Linked DNA regions of Arabidopsis thaliana. The protein of the gene in region 2 interacts with the protein of the main gene of each other region in a pairwise test. Each region holds a gene or a part of one and is shown on either strand. Other genes may lie near its edges.

The links. Proteins that work in one complex are often made in the same cells at the same time.
Region 1: the proteins of SGR4 (region 2) and SYP21 interact in binary tests that used the Arabidopsis thaliana proteins (3 or more experiments, as listed by UniProt).
Region 3: the proteins of SGR4 (region 2) and VAM3 interact in binary tests that used the Arabidopsis thaliana proteins (3 or more experiments, as listed by UniProt).

The regions. Positions count from the first base shown.
Region 1 is NC_003076.8:5,532,302-5,537,000, forward strand, and holds SYP21 (syntaxin of plants 21), read right to left. Parts: upstream 2,995-4,699; 5' UTR 2,852-2,994; coding exon 2,643-2,851; exon of another isoform or gene 2,292-2,642; coding exon 2,198-2,291; intron 1,995-2,197; coding exon 1,858-1,994; intron 1,630-1,857; coding exon 1,555-1,629; intron 1,293-1,554; coding exon 1,135-1,292; intron 1,037-1,134; coding exon 936-1,036; intron 841-935; coding exon 775-840; 3' UTR 545-774; downstream 1-544. Other genes in the region: HSF3 (heat shock factor 3), read left to right, coding at 1-196; BPA1 (binding partner of acd11 1), read left to right, coding at 3,741-3,746, 4,454-4,563. UniProt on the Arabidopsis thaliana protein: May function in the docking or fusion of transport vesicles with the prevacuolar membrane.
Region 2 is NC_003076.8:15,819,705-15,824,393, forward strand, and holds SGR4 (Vesicle transport v-SNARE family protein), read left to right. Parts: upstream 1-1,588; 5' UTR 1,589-1,853; intron 1,854-2,303; 5' UTR 2,304-2,330; coding exon 2,331-2,424; intron 2,425-2,514; exon of another isoform or gene 2,515-2,733; intron 2,734-2,952; coding exon 2,953-3,011; intron 3,012-3,098; coding exon 3,099-3,287; intron 3,288-3,391; coding exon 3,392-3,562; intron 3,563-3,734; coding exon 3,735-3,887; 3' UTR 3,888-4,136; downstream 4,137-4,689. Other genes in the region: GNL1 (GNOM-like 1), read left to right, coding at 1-206; AT5G39520 (hypothetical protein (DUF1997)), read right to left, coding at 4,216-4,311, 4,408-4,605. UniProt on the Arabidopsis thaliana protein: Functions as a v-SNARE responsible for targeting AtELP-containing vesicles from the trans-Golgi network (TGN) to the prevacuolar compartment (PVC) and mediates liposome fusion. May be also involved in retrograde traffic to the cis-Golgi.
Region 3 is NC_003076.8:19,011,477-19,015,784, reverse strand, and holds VAM3 (Syntaxin/t-SNARE family protein), read left to right. Parts: upstream 1-1,674; 5' UTR 1,675-1,989; coding exon 1,990-2,174; intron 2,175-2,302; coding exon 2,303-2,396; intron 2,397-2,475; coding exon 2,476-2,615; intron 2,616-2,772; coding exon 2,773-2,835; intron 2,836-2,948; coding exon 2,949-3,106; intron 3,107-3,185; coding exon 3,186-3,286; intron 3,287-3,377; coding exon 3,378-3,443; 3' UTR 3,444-3,764; downstream 3,765-4,308. Other genes in the region: AT5G46870 (RNA-binding (RRM/RBD/RNP motifs) family protein), read right to left, coding at 294-299; AT5G46850 (phosphatidylinositol-glycan biosynthesis class X-like protein), read right to left, coding at 3,775-4,071, 4,151-4,305. UniProt on the Arabidopsis thaliana protein: May provide the t-SNARE function in the vacuolar assembly. Promotes the formation of vacuolar membrane 'bulbs'. Required for inflorescence stem gravitropism.

The sequences.
Region 1 (4,699 bases), about 10 Mb from region 2:
AGATCCATTCTGGGAACAGTTCTTTTCTGTTGAACTCCCAGCGATTGCAGATACAGACGATATTCTATCAGGATCAGTGGAGAATAATGACTTGGTATTGGAACAAGAACCAAACGAGTGGACCCGTAATGAACAACAAATGAAGTATCTTACTGAACAAATGGGACTGCTTTCCTCAGAAGCACAGAGGAAATAAAGGTAAGAACATCGTTAAGTTCAAACATGTTTCTCTGCATTGTTGTATATCTTGAGAGTTATCAATTGTCTCTCACAATGTAGATTTTCAGGGGAGGTTGCAAAAGGAGATATGAAGGAACGAGGAATATATCAGATGGTGTGTATACCCTTTACATTTTTACTTAAATGAAAAAAAAACAGAGAGAAGAAACATAAAAGATTTACCACCAAGCTTGTGAATAGTTAGTAGAGATCGGTTTTTGTGTTGTTTATATTATACTTTTGTGTGAAAACGTTCATCTTGTTCAATTATCATCTCACTAGTACGGTAATCTGTTGGTCACTGACCGGTTAATGACCAAAAAATCAAGATTATTTTCTTATGTTTATTTCTTTTGATCATGAAGATCCTTATGATGGAGTAATACATTGATTAAACATTCACACGATGAGAAGTTAAGATCAATTTGGTTGAATGGGGAAGATGGAGTATAAAGAATCTGTACATTAGATATATATCTTTAATGGGTCTTTGTATAGTTTCCATAGATTCGCTTGATGCTTGAAGATTGAAGCTTGGAGTTATATGTTTGATGCTTAGACCAAGACAACGATGATGACAATGAGTAGAACAATCCCAAAAATGAGAATAAGTAGGCATGTCTGCAACAAAGTAAAAGACAACAAACTTAGCTTAAGCTGCTAAGAATATGAAATCACAGAACTGAAAATGAGAAGAGAGTCTGTTTAGTCCGTACCAAAGAGGAGTTTGATCTTTGAGTTTTAGCTGCTTTTCTGAGTTGAACAGTGGCTTGTGTAGTTGCAGCATGTGAGTTGTCAAGGTTAGAGCTGATGTCATCTGCCAGTGCACATTATAGTTTTTTTCTGAGACTTTAAAAAGGCAAAGAGAAAACGAACAGGGAGATTTACAATTTCTGATTGTTTGGAGTTACTTACCGACAATATTTCCTTGATGGTTCACCATAAGAGCTAGATCTTTGAACATGCCATTCACATCACGAATCTGGTCTTCAATTTCTCGAATCCCTTGCTCTCTTTCCTCAATAATTGCTTCATTGAATGTTATCTCGTTATCTAAAAACACCACTTCTTGCCTGGAATGAGAATATAAAAAGTTAGCGAATAGCAAGCATCTCCCTGCATCCAGGGACATAACCAACTTCGAAAAATTTATTAACCTATTCTAAGGCTTCTATTAACAATTCAGGCTACAGTGAGTGCCAAGTGTAACGATGGTTTGAATTTGAACTCTCGAGAGCAAAATGCATGCTAGACTAACATTTGGTTTATGCTTATAATTGATCAAATGAATTAGTAAAATAACATGCTAGCATATAATCAAATCACACTCCTCACCTTCTTGATTGTAGAAGAAGAGCTTGCTGCTGGGAGATCCTTAAAGATTCAGTATCCAGTTCAGGTGCATTATAACTGCATGGTGTGGCATGACAATGAAGCATGTGTAAGTGAAACTCACATTCCACAAAATATCAGAACAATCCTACGTTCAAAAATTCTTTTGTACAAAACAACAATAATAACATGCGAGTATATAATCCGGAGACTTTTTTTCTTCTCATTTAGGAAACAACGAGATTCATTTACCATGATCTTCTGTTTTTTAACAGGTATTGAAACATAACTGGTCAAAGTGGTTACCTGGTAGGTATTTCTTTTGTGACCACAGGAGTATATGTTATTTCTCTTTCAGCTGCAAGTCTCTGAGCTTTCTGAAACTCTTTGAGAACTGATTGGAAATCTTTTGCCAGTTTAGCATCAGCTATCTTCTTAATTTGCTGCAAGAATACAAACATAACATCAAAACTAGAATACACATATCATCAATCATGTAAACAATTCTCCCACTAAATGAATAAAATGGTACGATTCTGACAAAATTAAACCAAAATAAAACTGGTTCAATAGAAAATGTTCTCTTAGACACTAACATTCCATAGCATCGTAAGGGAATGAAACAAAAAAGTAAGCATTTGCTTACACTAGCTGATCCATGAAGGTCGGCTTCGCTAGCTTCCTTAAGTTTAGCTGAAGTATTCTTCACCAATTCGGATATCTGTAACCTTGTCTTTTGCCTGCCAACAAAAGAACCTAACACTTTAAAACAATTCACAGAACAAATAGATGAAACCAATCTAAAAAAAAAACAATTTCTCAATACACACACACACACACACACACACAAAAAGCTCATTATTTGCAATGTTGTCAGGCATTATTTGCAATGTTGTCTCACATCGATCAGCAAACTCAAATTTGTTCTTCGGTTAAGGGAAAATAATGCAGGATTAGCTTCAAAACAATTAGAAAACTTTTTCAATTAAAAATTGAAATGAAATCGACCAAAATCAATAAGTAAAACCAAAACCCTAATCAACAGAGATTTAACAAAGAGAAGAAGAGTGTGATTAAGAATTGCTACTGACAGCTTATCTCGTAATTCAAGAGTATCTTTAGGTGTTCCGATCGAATTAACGAGGCGGAAGAAGGAATTGACAGCCGTGCTGATCCTGAAAATCCCGGCGGCGACCTCCTGAGATGGATCCCCACGAGACGAAGGTCTCTGTTGTCTCCCACCGGTAAAACGATTCGGCGCCGGAGATCGAGTACCAGCTTCGAGATCTTGGAAACTCATCGTCTCTTCTCTCGAATCTCTCGAAATTCTCTTATCTCTATCTCAGGGGAACAAACGAAGACGAAGATGATGGAAATGAGTTAGGTGAATTATAAGTTTTCCCAAAATTTAATGTTAATTTTTGTTTTATAATTTGTATAAATCATTTAATCTCATGTGGTCCGCGTGAATATGGTGGTGGAGGGAATTTATTAATACGTATAAATTATTTGGCGGTGACACGCCATTGCGAGGGAAGAATCCTGCGTGTCGTTGTTGACCTCACCTGCCCTTCCGTGTAAAATTGAAACTCGGTTCGAGTAAACCGGACCAATTGAGTGGGTTTGCAGGATAAGGATTGGTTAAATGATTTTGGGCTACATTGGAGTTTAGTAAAAGGAAAAGAGAAGAGTTGGGCCAAAAACAAGGAGAAGTCCAACTTTTTTGTAATTACCAAGTTATCATATTTTATGACTGAATTAATAATTACAGTAATCACTTTGATACATAAACCACTTTTTATAGAAAAACAATGATATATTTTTGTTGATAAAAAGTAAAATTTTTATGTATTTTTTTCTAATAAAACATAAACTTAATAATTGTGTTACGAAACTCCTAACTTTTGTTTTGAACTGAAGAGGGAAAAAATAGAAATATATACTAAAAAAGTGAAAATATTAATTGTTGGAAACAATTAGGGACTAAAATAGGATTAAAGGGCGTAACGCAAACCCACACGTTGAGTGTGAGGTGTCATATAAAGCAAAATACACTCTTCCCTCTCTATCTATCTACGCATCATCGATCTCGAAGTACGTTTCGGTTTTCAGGCCAATCTCTGAATCTGCGTGACAAAAGCAACAAATTACATATCTCTCTCTCTGCGCGACTTCGAAGATCAACATCCATGGCGGTATGCTCTACTTTTTTTTTGTGTATAATTTTGTTTTATGCGGAAAAGGTTTAGGTTTCCTCTGCTGGTAGATATTGTTGCGATCCATTTGTTTATCGGGAAATTTTCTCAGGATTGATATTTTTGGCTATTGATTTGATTTCTTCTTCAATTTGGATGATCTGTTGTTTGATTGCTGCACTTGCCGACATAATATCTCCAATGCTATTTGGACGAGTTTGATGATTATTATTGTCGTTATTAATTGATTCTGTATCTCTGTGTGATCTGTATTCGTGCAATTATCTCTATTATCTCCTTGATTTCTCGGTTTTGGTTTTCGTTTATCGTAGTAAATCGCGATTGTGTTATTCTCAATTTGGAACCGAATCTCGCTAGCCAATTTACTTTTAGATTCCTCCATACATTGTCGATTAGTTTCCTTAATTGGTAGCCTTCATGGTTCATTCGAGTTTTCTTTTTGTATAGTGAGATGATGACAGTCATCTTCTAAGCCACTATAATATTATCCCTTTACTTGCATAATTGTATAATCTTGTGATAAATCTAGGCTTCTTTGAGTTTGAGCTGATTTGATTAAAATGGGACTTTCGGTCGATTAGATATGCTTGGATACAAAAAGTAGTTGTACTGTAAACATTCTCATGAAACACCTGTTTATTGTTTTCGTTAATGATTCTTTCCCTTTTGATTCTTTATGATGACAGTCACAGGTAAGGTCAGTAAAAGTTGGCAATCTCTCTTCAGGAGCAACTGAGCATGATATTAAAGAGTTTTTCTCTTTCTCTGGTGAAGTTGAAAGCATCGATATCCAAAGGTTAGTGATATTGTTTCCTTGTTCTTTGATTTCAAAATTTTGACATTTAAAGCTTTTTTTGATCAATTAACTTCCGAAGCTTTTTCTCAGCAAATTTAGATACAGTTCTCTTAAACTTACTGACTCTGAGCTTTGT
Region 2 (4,689 bases):
ACACATTACTGGTAATGAAGGCGACGGGAGTTTTATTACCAGGTGATGATATCGGAAGTGACAGTTTCTGGCAACTAACGTGGCTTCACGTTAATAAGATCTCTCCTTCTCTTCAATCTGAAGTTTTCCCTCAAGAGGAGCTTGATCAGTTTCAGAGACGAAACGCGAAGCCTGAGGATCCTCCGGTACCGGGAAATGAGGTCTGAGACGGTTTTGGTGGAATAGAGAAAATTTGTTCTATACAGATGAAAAAGCTTAATCAAGGATATCAATTTTTTTTTTGCAGTATAGCTTTTTTGTTTTTAATATAGGGGGATTATAATACTTTGGAGTCTTGAGCTTTTGTTTTTTTTATGGAATGTTATGTTGAAATTATGGGTTTGATTGGAAATATATTTGGAGGCAATTTGGAAACTGCTGCGTCTATTATACAAAGAACTTGAAAAATTCAATGGTACTGACAAAGAAAAATGGTACTCATCAAAACCAGAAAAGAAAAGTAAATTTTTGGTCCAAATCTCACTATTTTAATAACATTTTTTAAAAACAAAGAATTAAGAACAAAAACAAAATGACCTATAAAATTTTGGACTCTAATTCTTGGCTTGTGTGACTTTATTAACAGTTAAATATTACAAATTTTCAAACTCTTAAAAATTTAAACTTTATAAAACGTTTTAAATATTTATAATTTATAAACTTTATGAAGTTTTAAATATTATAAATATTTGTTATAATTTTGAATGTTATAAATTTATAAACGAAAAGAACTTGAAAAATTCAATGAAAACGAGTAACGACAAAGAAAAATGATAATCATCAAAACCAAATCTCAATATTTTAATAACATTTAAAGTTTTTAAAAAACCCAAAAAATTAACTAGTAGGCCTGGGCATAATACCCGGAACCGAATATCCGAACCGAAAAACCCGAAAAATAACCAAACCGAACCCGAATCCGATTTTTAGAATTACCCGAATGGGTCCTCGACCTTACTACCCGAAAAAACCCGAACCGAACCCGAACCGAATCTAATACCCGTGGGTACCCGAATACGAATGTAACTTAAATATATTAGTTATATATATATATTTGTAATACCTCAAATACCAAAATTAAAATTATAAATCCGATTATACTAGATTTTTTTAGTAATTCATATATATTTGGATATATTTGGGTAAAAGTAACAAATGTTATAGTTTTCTTTTAGATAATTTAAGTATTTTGGTTACATTTGGTTATATTTGTATAAAAAGTAACCAATATATTTACGGGTAATTGGGTATTTCGGGTTGATTTGGGTATATATGAATAAAAAAACCGAATCTAACCCGAACCCAAAAATATTTTGGGTATTTTTGGTTATTTTTACATTTTTACTAAAATAACCGAACCGACCCAAACCCGAACCGAAACCGAACCGAATTTTTAGAATACTCGAATGGTTCTCAACCTCCTACCCGAATAGACCCAATACCCGGAAAAAAAAACGAACCCGAACGGGTACCCGAATGCCCACGCCTCAATTAAGAACAGAAAAAGAAAAAAACTAACTTTCAGTGACCTATAAAAGTTTGGGCCCTAGAAGAGTCTTTTCGCAACACCAAAAATGGCAGATCCGCAAGCCCAACAAGGCAGTGGCATTGCCAAAAGATCTGGACAAAAAAAAGGCCAAGTGGTGTACAAAGCCTAGATGTAGGATATAATTACTCAACCGTCGAACATATTTTCCATAGATCATTCATAGACGTACGCATCATCAAATCAATTCATCGTCGTCTTCCACAATTGTCATCACCGATCGATTTTCCGACTCCGACGTACCTCCTCTTCCCCGTTACCTTCTCAGGTCTCAATCTGGCTTTCTCTATTTTTCGCCTAATTCCTCTTTTTCTGATTGTGATTCTGCTTTCTAATTTTGATCCTAATTTTTTGTGCTTATACTCCGGCTAAACTCTTCCATTTGTTCCGATCACCGGAATTTTCGTCACTTATTCGTCATCCTTTTTCTCTTTTGATCCGTCAATTTTACTTTTCTGTCTTTTTTTTTTCTCCTTTTTCCCCGTGTTGACATTTCTTTCTTCTGTACGTGATCTAGTTATCTTAGGGTTTTGGACTGCTATACAAAACAATCAATTGATTTTAGTTTTATCTTTTGAATCGTTGTAAGAATTTCAATAGCCTAGTCTTGTTGATGGTTTTGGGCTATTGAATCTGTTCTTAAAGTTTCAGCTTAATGTAATCTGTTCTTAATCAGAATTAGGGTTCATCATCATTGTGTGTGTTGCTGATTCTGCAGAGTTTTTAGTAGTCTTCCTTTGGAACAATGAGTGACGTGTTTGATGGATATGAGCGACAATACTGTGAGCTCTCGGCGAGTCTTTCAAAGAAGTGTTCCTCTGCTATTTCGCTTGATGGAGGTAAAATTGTTACTCTAATCTTTTCTAAGATGTGATACTTTTCCTACTCAGGCATTGCCTTACCTTCCTTAAGATTTGAAATAACTAATTCTGGTTTAGCTTATGAATGTAACAATGTACGAATTAGAGATATCTTGGTTTGTGTTTTTGATGCAGAGTATTGTGCGATTTAGATCCTTTAATTACTACTTCGTTGTAAGGACATAGTATTGGTTTCTGATTACGAAGAGAGCTTGTGATTAGTATTGGTCGCTGATCATCGCCATTTTTTTACACTGGGGATACTTCGGTTTTTGTTTGTTACTGAGAACGATTCTATAGATAGTTTGGTTTGTGTTTGATGACTATAAACTTCTTGTCTCCTTCATGTGTTGCTAGGACATAGTAGTGTGCCTTTCTTTTGCTTTCTTTGGAGATTGTGATTAGTAGTGTTCGCTGATCATCGGGATTGTTTTTTTTCCCCTAGATGAGTATGCTCTGTTGATTGCATAGATAAAAATGCATTGATGATACCTTATTAATTTGCAGAACAAAAGAAGCAGAAGTTGTCTGAAATAAAATCCGGGCTGGAAAATGCAGAAGTATTGGTATGTGATATGCGTAACGTGAAGTTATAGAAGCTTCTCTATTGTCCATTATTCATTTTGATGCTTCTCTGTCCTTTTCTTCACCAGATTAGGAAAATGGATCTCGAGGCAAGGACCCTTCCACCTAATCTTAAGTCCAGCCTCCTTGTCAAATTAAGAGAATTCAAGTCTGATCTGAACAATTTCAAAACTGAAGTGAAGAGAATCACATCTGGACAGTTGAACGCTGCTGCTCGTGATGAGTTGCTAGAAGCTGGTATGGCTGACACAAAGACGGTATGTAAAGGACTCGGTAGTATTGTTTCAATTTTATCTCATCTCATATCTTTGCTATTAAAACGACCTATGATTTTCTTTTTTTATTGAAACGCTGAGATCAGGCTTCAGCTGATCAGAGAGCAAGATTGATGATGTCAACTGAGCGTCTGGGCCGAACCACTGACAGAGTCAAGGACAGTCGTAGAACAATGATGGAGACTGAAGAAATCGGTGTTTCAATCCTCCAAGACTTGCACGGTCAGAGACAGTCTCTCTTACGTGCCCACGAAACGGTATTGTCTCTCTGCAACACATTTACTCCATATTCTCAACGATATTCTGAACAAAGTGACAAAATAAGATGAGAATTAAGGGCTATATCATAAAGAAGACTATGTTTTCTTGTTTTCTTTATCAACGCTGGATTGATATCGCGCTAACCAAAATTTAGAACTCTGTTGACAGCTTCATGGAGTAGACGATAACATTGGAAAGAGCAAGAAGATCTTGACAGACATGACGAGGAGGATGAACAAGAACAAATGGACCATTGGAGCCATCATCATCGCATTGATTGCCGCCATTTTCATCATCTTGTACTTCAAACTCACCAAGTAAGCCTCTGTAACTAAATCCGACCAAATCAAAGAACAACGGTTGTTTTCGTTTTGTGAGTCTTTGATTTATCCTGTTTCTTCTTTTTGTGTGAAAAGTTGTTTTGCCACCTTTGTATTCTAAATTTGACCATACATACTTTAAGCAAGTAAAGCTTCGGCCTAAGTGTCACGTATATTGTTTATATTGTTCATATCAAATCCAGAACTATACATGGTTAAACATTGAGATTAAAAGCCTCAATTATTTCAAACAATCGAGGTCTACATCTCGCACAATTGTTCATATATTGGATCTAGAACTATACATGATCAAACATTGATATCAATTACTAGTGTTTTTTTCTTTCATATTTGAATTTGCTATAATCAGCGACCAAGCTCTCAATAACCCTATGCTTCATGTTATCCACCAAACCGGCCAAAATCTGTAAAGGGCCAATCAAAAACATAAATCATGTATAAACCCGGAACACAGCATTTTGAGTCTCCAATCGCATATATGAAACAAGACAGTTTCTTACCGCATTGGCCATGTTTCTCCTAACATCTTCTGGTACAAGCGCGAGAACTGAAGGAAGCACGAAGCTAATGGTCGTTTCTAGTCGACCTTTGAGCCTCGTGTGCCTTCCACGCCGGTCTGGGTATAATGCTCCTTTTACTCCAAGAGTGAAATCAGTTGGTTCCATTACTCGGTCAAGCCCTTGAAGCTCCCATTTCGTCTGAAAATCGTAATTCAAATGTTAAATCAATAAAAATTCTGACTAGTGAATTTGTGATTCATGTGGTGGTACAAATATAATATT
Region 3 (4,308 bases), 3.2 Mb from region 2:
AAACAGAGAGCACAAAAGTGTTAAACCCCTTACTCCTAAAGTTAACGAATTGGTTAAGTTCTGATTAACTTAAAAGTTATACATATAAGAAGCTGTGTCCAAAAATAAATTCACAAAGTTTTAACTAATTAGATAAATACTAATCACATTTATCAAACAAGTAATCCATAAGAAGGTAAAACCCAAAATTAGTGATTCTAAACGCCAATTTCAACATATCTAATCGCAGCTGGTGATCGAAATTCTACAAATACGAGACGAGAACGATTAATCGGATATGAAGGAGTACTCACCGACATTGCTAAAAACCGATATAAACCGGATTGAAACGGAAGATTTTCTGAATTTGAAACGAAAACAGAAGAGAAAATGAAAATCCTAGTAAGGAAAAATCTTTGGCTGTGAGGAAAATACAAAGCGGATTCAATTTAAATACAATTCTCCGGTACGTGTAACCGTCGGGATTATGTTTTTTTTTTTTTGTCTCGCCGGCGACTTCAAGGAAGAAAAAGGTCGTGCTTAGCTATTTCTTTGTCGGGAAAGATTCTAATTAAATTTTAATCATATAGTACTTACGTTTAAAACAAAACAAAAGACGTGACATAATCACATTATCAACCACTATCTGTCGTCCACGTGTCCAAAACCGTTTCTGCTTTTCACATGTAGTAAAGTTTAATAACCTCATCATTGGAAATCTTGCGAAAAAAATGCTGATAAAGTAATTACATTAACACTTTCCATTAGGGCTGGGCAAAATATTCGATCGATCCGCTTCGATTCGGTATTCGATTTGATTTGATTCGAAAAATCCGAATTTCCGTAAGATTTTGGACCAAAGCAAATAGGAAAATGTAGTATTCGTAAAAACCGAATCAAATAGCAAATATTGTTTTTTAAAAAATCAAATATCCGCTTCGATCCGTATCTTTTGATATATATTAGAATATATAGTTATATCTATATATAGATATCATAAATAGTTTGTGTATTGTTGCTACCTTATGTTTTTATGTTAAGATGTTTGTTTGATATTTTTTTTTATGTTATGTTTTGATCAATGACATCAAAAACTATCGAGTTTTAGTTTTTGGAATTAGTTTGATAACATTTTTGTTGACCGGTGATAACAACAAAGGTTATATTTGGTATTTAGAACTTATTTTGAAAGCATGTTAAATAAAAACTTTGAATATCTGATATGGTTATATAGTTTATATATTTTTTTAAAATATTTATACGTATCAAAGCGGATATCCGCAAATATCACAAAAAAATCCGGATATTCGAAATTCCGGATATCCGGAAAGTTTCGAATCAAAGCAAATCATAAAATCAAGTATTCGGTTAAAACGAATCGAATAACAAATATCACAATTTTTCCGAATATTCGCTTCGTGCCCAGACCTACTTTTCATTATTAAACTTTCACCTAAAATAGTTAAACTAAGGGCACCGAACCAAATTGAACTGTTTAAACCGTAGTGGAATCTTATATAAACTGATTTGATTGTATCTGAACTAAACCAAACCAAATAAATGTTTTATTAAAACTTTACATTTTAACTATTTACACATATTGAGAAAAAATATAATCATATTAATATATAAACTAACTAAAAATTATTGTTTATTAACTAAAACTGAATCAAATCAAAAATAAAAACAAACTGACCCAAACCAAAATCTCAATAAACCAAACCAATTGTTTAATTTGGCAAGAAAAACAGAAACGAGGAGAGGTTACTAAATATATAGAAATAAAAGGATCAAAAAGGAAACAACTTTATCTCAGCTTTTTCTTCTCAATTAAAATCAGTTTGGGATTTTTTCGAAAACGCTTTTCAATCTTCGTCTATCTGTCTCCACGATCCACGCCTTGACCTTCGTTTTTTTTTTCTCAGAGATTAGAGAAAACTCCGATAACCAATTTCTCAATCTTTTTGTAGATCCAATTTTTCCAGGAAAAAAAGAGGTTTCGCGAAGAAGATGAGTTTTCAAGATTTAGAATCAGGAAGAGGAAGATCAACGAGGAAATTCAATGGTGGTCGACAAGATTCGACACAAGCCGTTGCTTCTGGAATATTCCAGATCAATACCGGAGTCTCCACGTTTCAGCGACTCGTTAACACACTTGGTACTCCCAAAGATACACCGGAGCTCCGGGAGAAGCTGTATGTTGAAATTGAAATCTAAATTTCATTTGATAAAAAAAATTGAATTTTTGATTTCAATTTTGATTGCTTTTTTTTTTTTGTGGATTCTGAATTTAGAAATTATTATTCGGATTTTGTTGTGATAGGCACAAGACAAGGTTGCATATTGGACAGCTTGTGAAGGATACTTCAGCTAAACTTAAAGAAGCTAGTGAAACTGATCATCAAAGCGGTGTCAATGTAAAGTGGAATCTTTTTCTTCTTGTTTGGTTTTTAAGCGACTCTTTGTTGTGTGTTTGATTGTTGTGTAATTGTGTAGCCAAGTAAGAAGATTGCAGATGCTAAGCTTGCAAGGGACTTTCAAGCTGTTTTAAAAGAGTTTCAGAAAGCTCAACAAACTGCTGCTGAAAGAGAAACCACTTATACTCCTTTCGTGCCTCAATCTGCTCTTCCCTCTAGGTAACGTGACTGATTGATTATATGTGGTTTCATGTATGTTAAGCTCGAATTCGAATTAGAAGTGTGATTATCATAAGCAAAAAGCATCACTTTGTGAATTGTTTGTGTGGTTTTGATAATCATGTTCCTTATTTTTCTTGTCTGACTCCGTATATAGCTATACGGCGGGTGAGGTGGATAAGGTACCGGAACAGCGGGCACAACTTCAGGAGTCGAAAAGGTAGGTGATATCGAAAAAATATTCTTTTACACATCTCTTATATGATGCAACTTATTTTCTCCTTTGCTTGATTGTTGATGCAACTTATTTTCTCCTTTGCTTGATTGTTGTAGACAAGAACTTGTATTGTTAGACAACGAGATTGCATTCAACGAGGCTGTGATTGAAGAAAGAGAGCAAGGAATACAAGAAATCCATCAGCAAATTGGTGAGGTTAACGAGATATTCAAAGATCTTGCGGTTCTGGTTAACGATCAAGGAGTCATGATAGGTAAAGACAATCTATTAAACTTAATTAGAACATGCCCTTGAAGCTGCAGTTAGAGAACTCACTTTTTTCTTTCTTGCAGATGATATTGGTACTCACATTGACAACTCCCGTGCTGCAACTTCACAAGGAAAATCTCAGCTTGTGCAAGCCGCGAAAACACAAAAATCAAACTCCTCTCTGGTAAAACACTCAAAAAAGTTTTCAGACAAAAACAGTGACTGAATGTTTTTTGGAAACCTTAGGCTAATGTGTTGATCTTGTTTACACGCAGACATGCTTGCTCTTGGTGATATTTGGCATTGTTCTCCTGATCGTGATTATAGTACTCGCAGCTTGATTTCGAACAGCAAGAACATTTCGTTTGTGTGTGTTCATTGATCTTAAGGCATCAATGACTGGAACTACTTGGTATATATTATATGTTGAAGAGAACACTTAGAAGTTGGTTTTGTGTTTGTTTGGGTTGGTTCAGTTCGGTTTGAGGTTCTATTGGTTAATGTAATAGTGTGTGCGTGTGTGGCTTTTTTGTTGTGCAAACATTTTGTTGGAGATGACAGAAACTCTGTTTTGTTTGTGATTCTCCTATGTTCTCCTAAATCTTTGTTGAGAGGAAACAAAAACTATTTGCTCAATGAGTGTCACAAAGAAGTTTGAAACCAAAAGCAGAGTCATGACTGCTTCAAGTTTTTACAAGATTCACCCTTTGAGCTCAAAACCGATGCCACGAGTATTGAAAATGCAGAAAAAACCGCAGCGGCGAATGTCAAGGCGGAAACATACTCTGTATGACCCCTGATTCCGGCAGGGATATCCCAGAAAACAGACCTGGTTTCAGTCTTCGATCTGCCAATCGACAAAACCAAACATCTCCTCCGTTCACGTCGCTGGTTTTGTACATGGCTCGAGCACAAGAACAAGTCTGGCTCGCCAAACTCCACTCTAGAGTATCCACTGTCGTCCAGAGGCTGTGGAGATAACAGAGAAGTAAAGATCCAATCTTATTGACATCGACCAAAATAAGACTTAGTTCAAGTGATCATTTACCTGATACCGAGCATGTAAAGGAAGCTTAAAGCTTATTTCACCATTTTCATAATTTCTAGAGCTGATTTCAACATGAATCTCAACGACGGATCTGTTCGATCTAAACGAAGGCAGCTCAAGATTTGTGTCACCAAACACAGATACGTCACTGAAAGCTG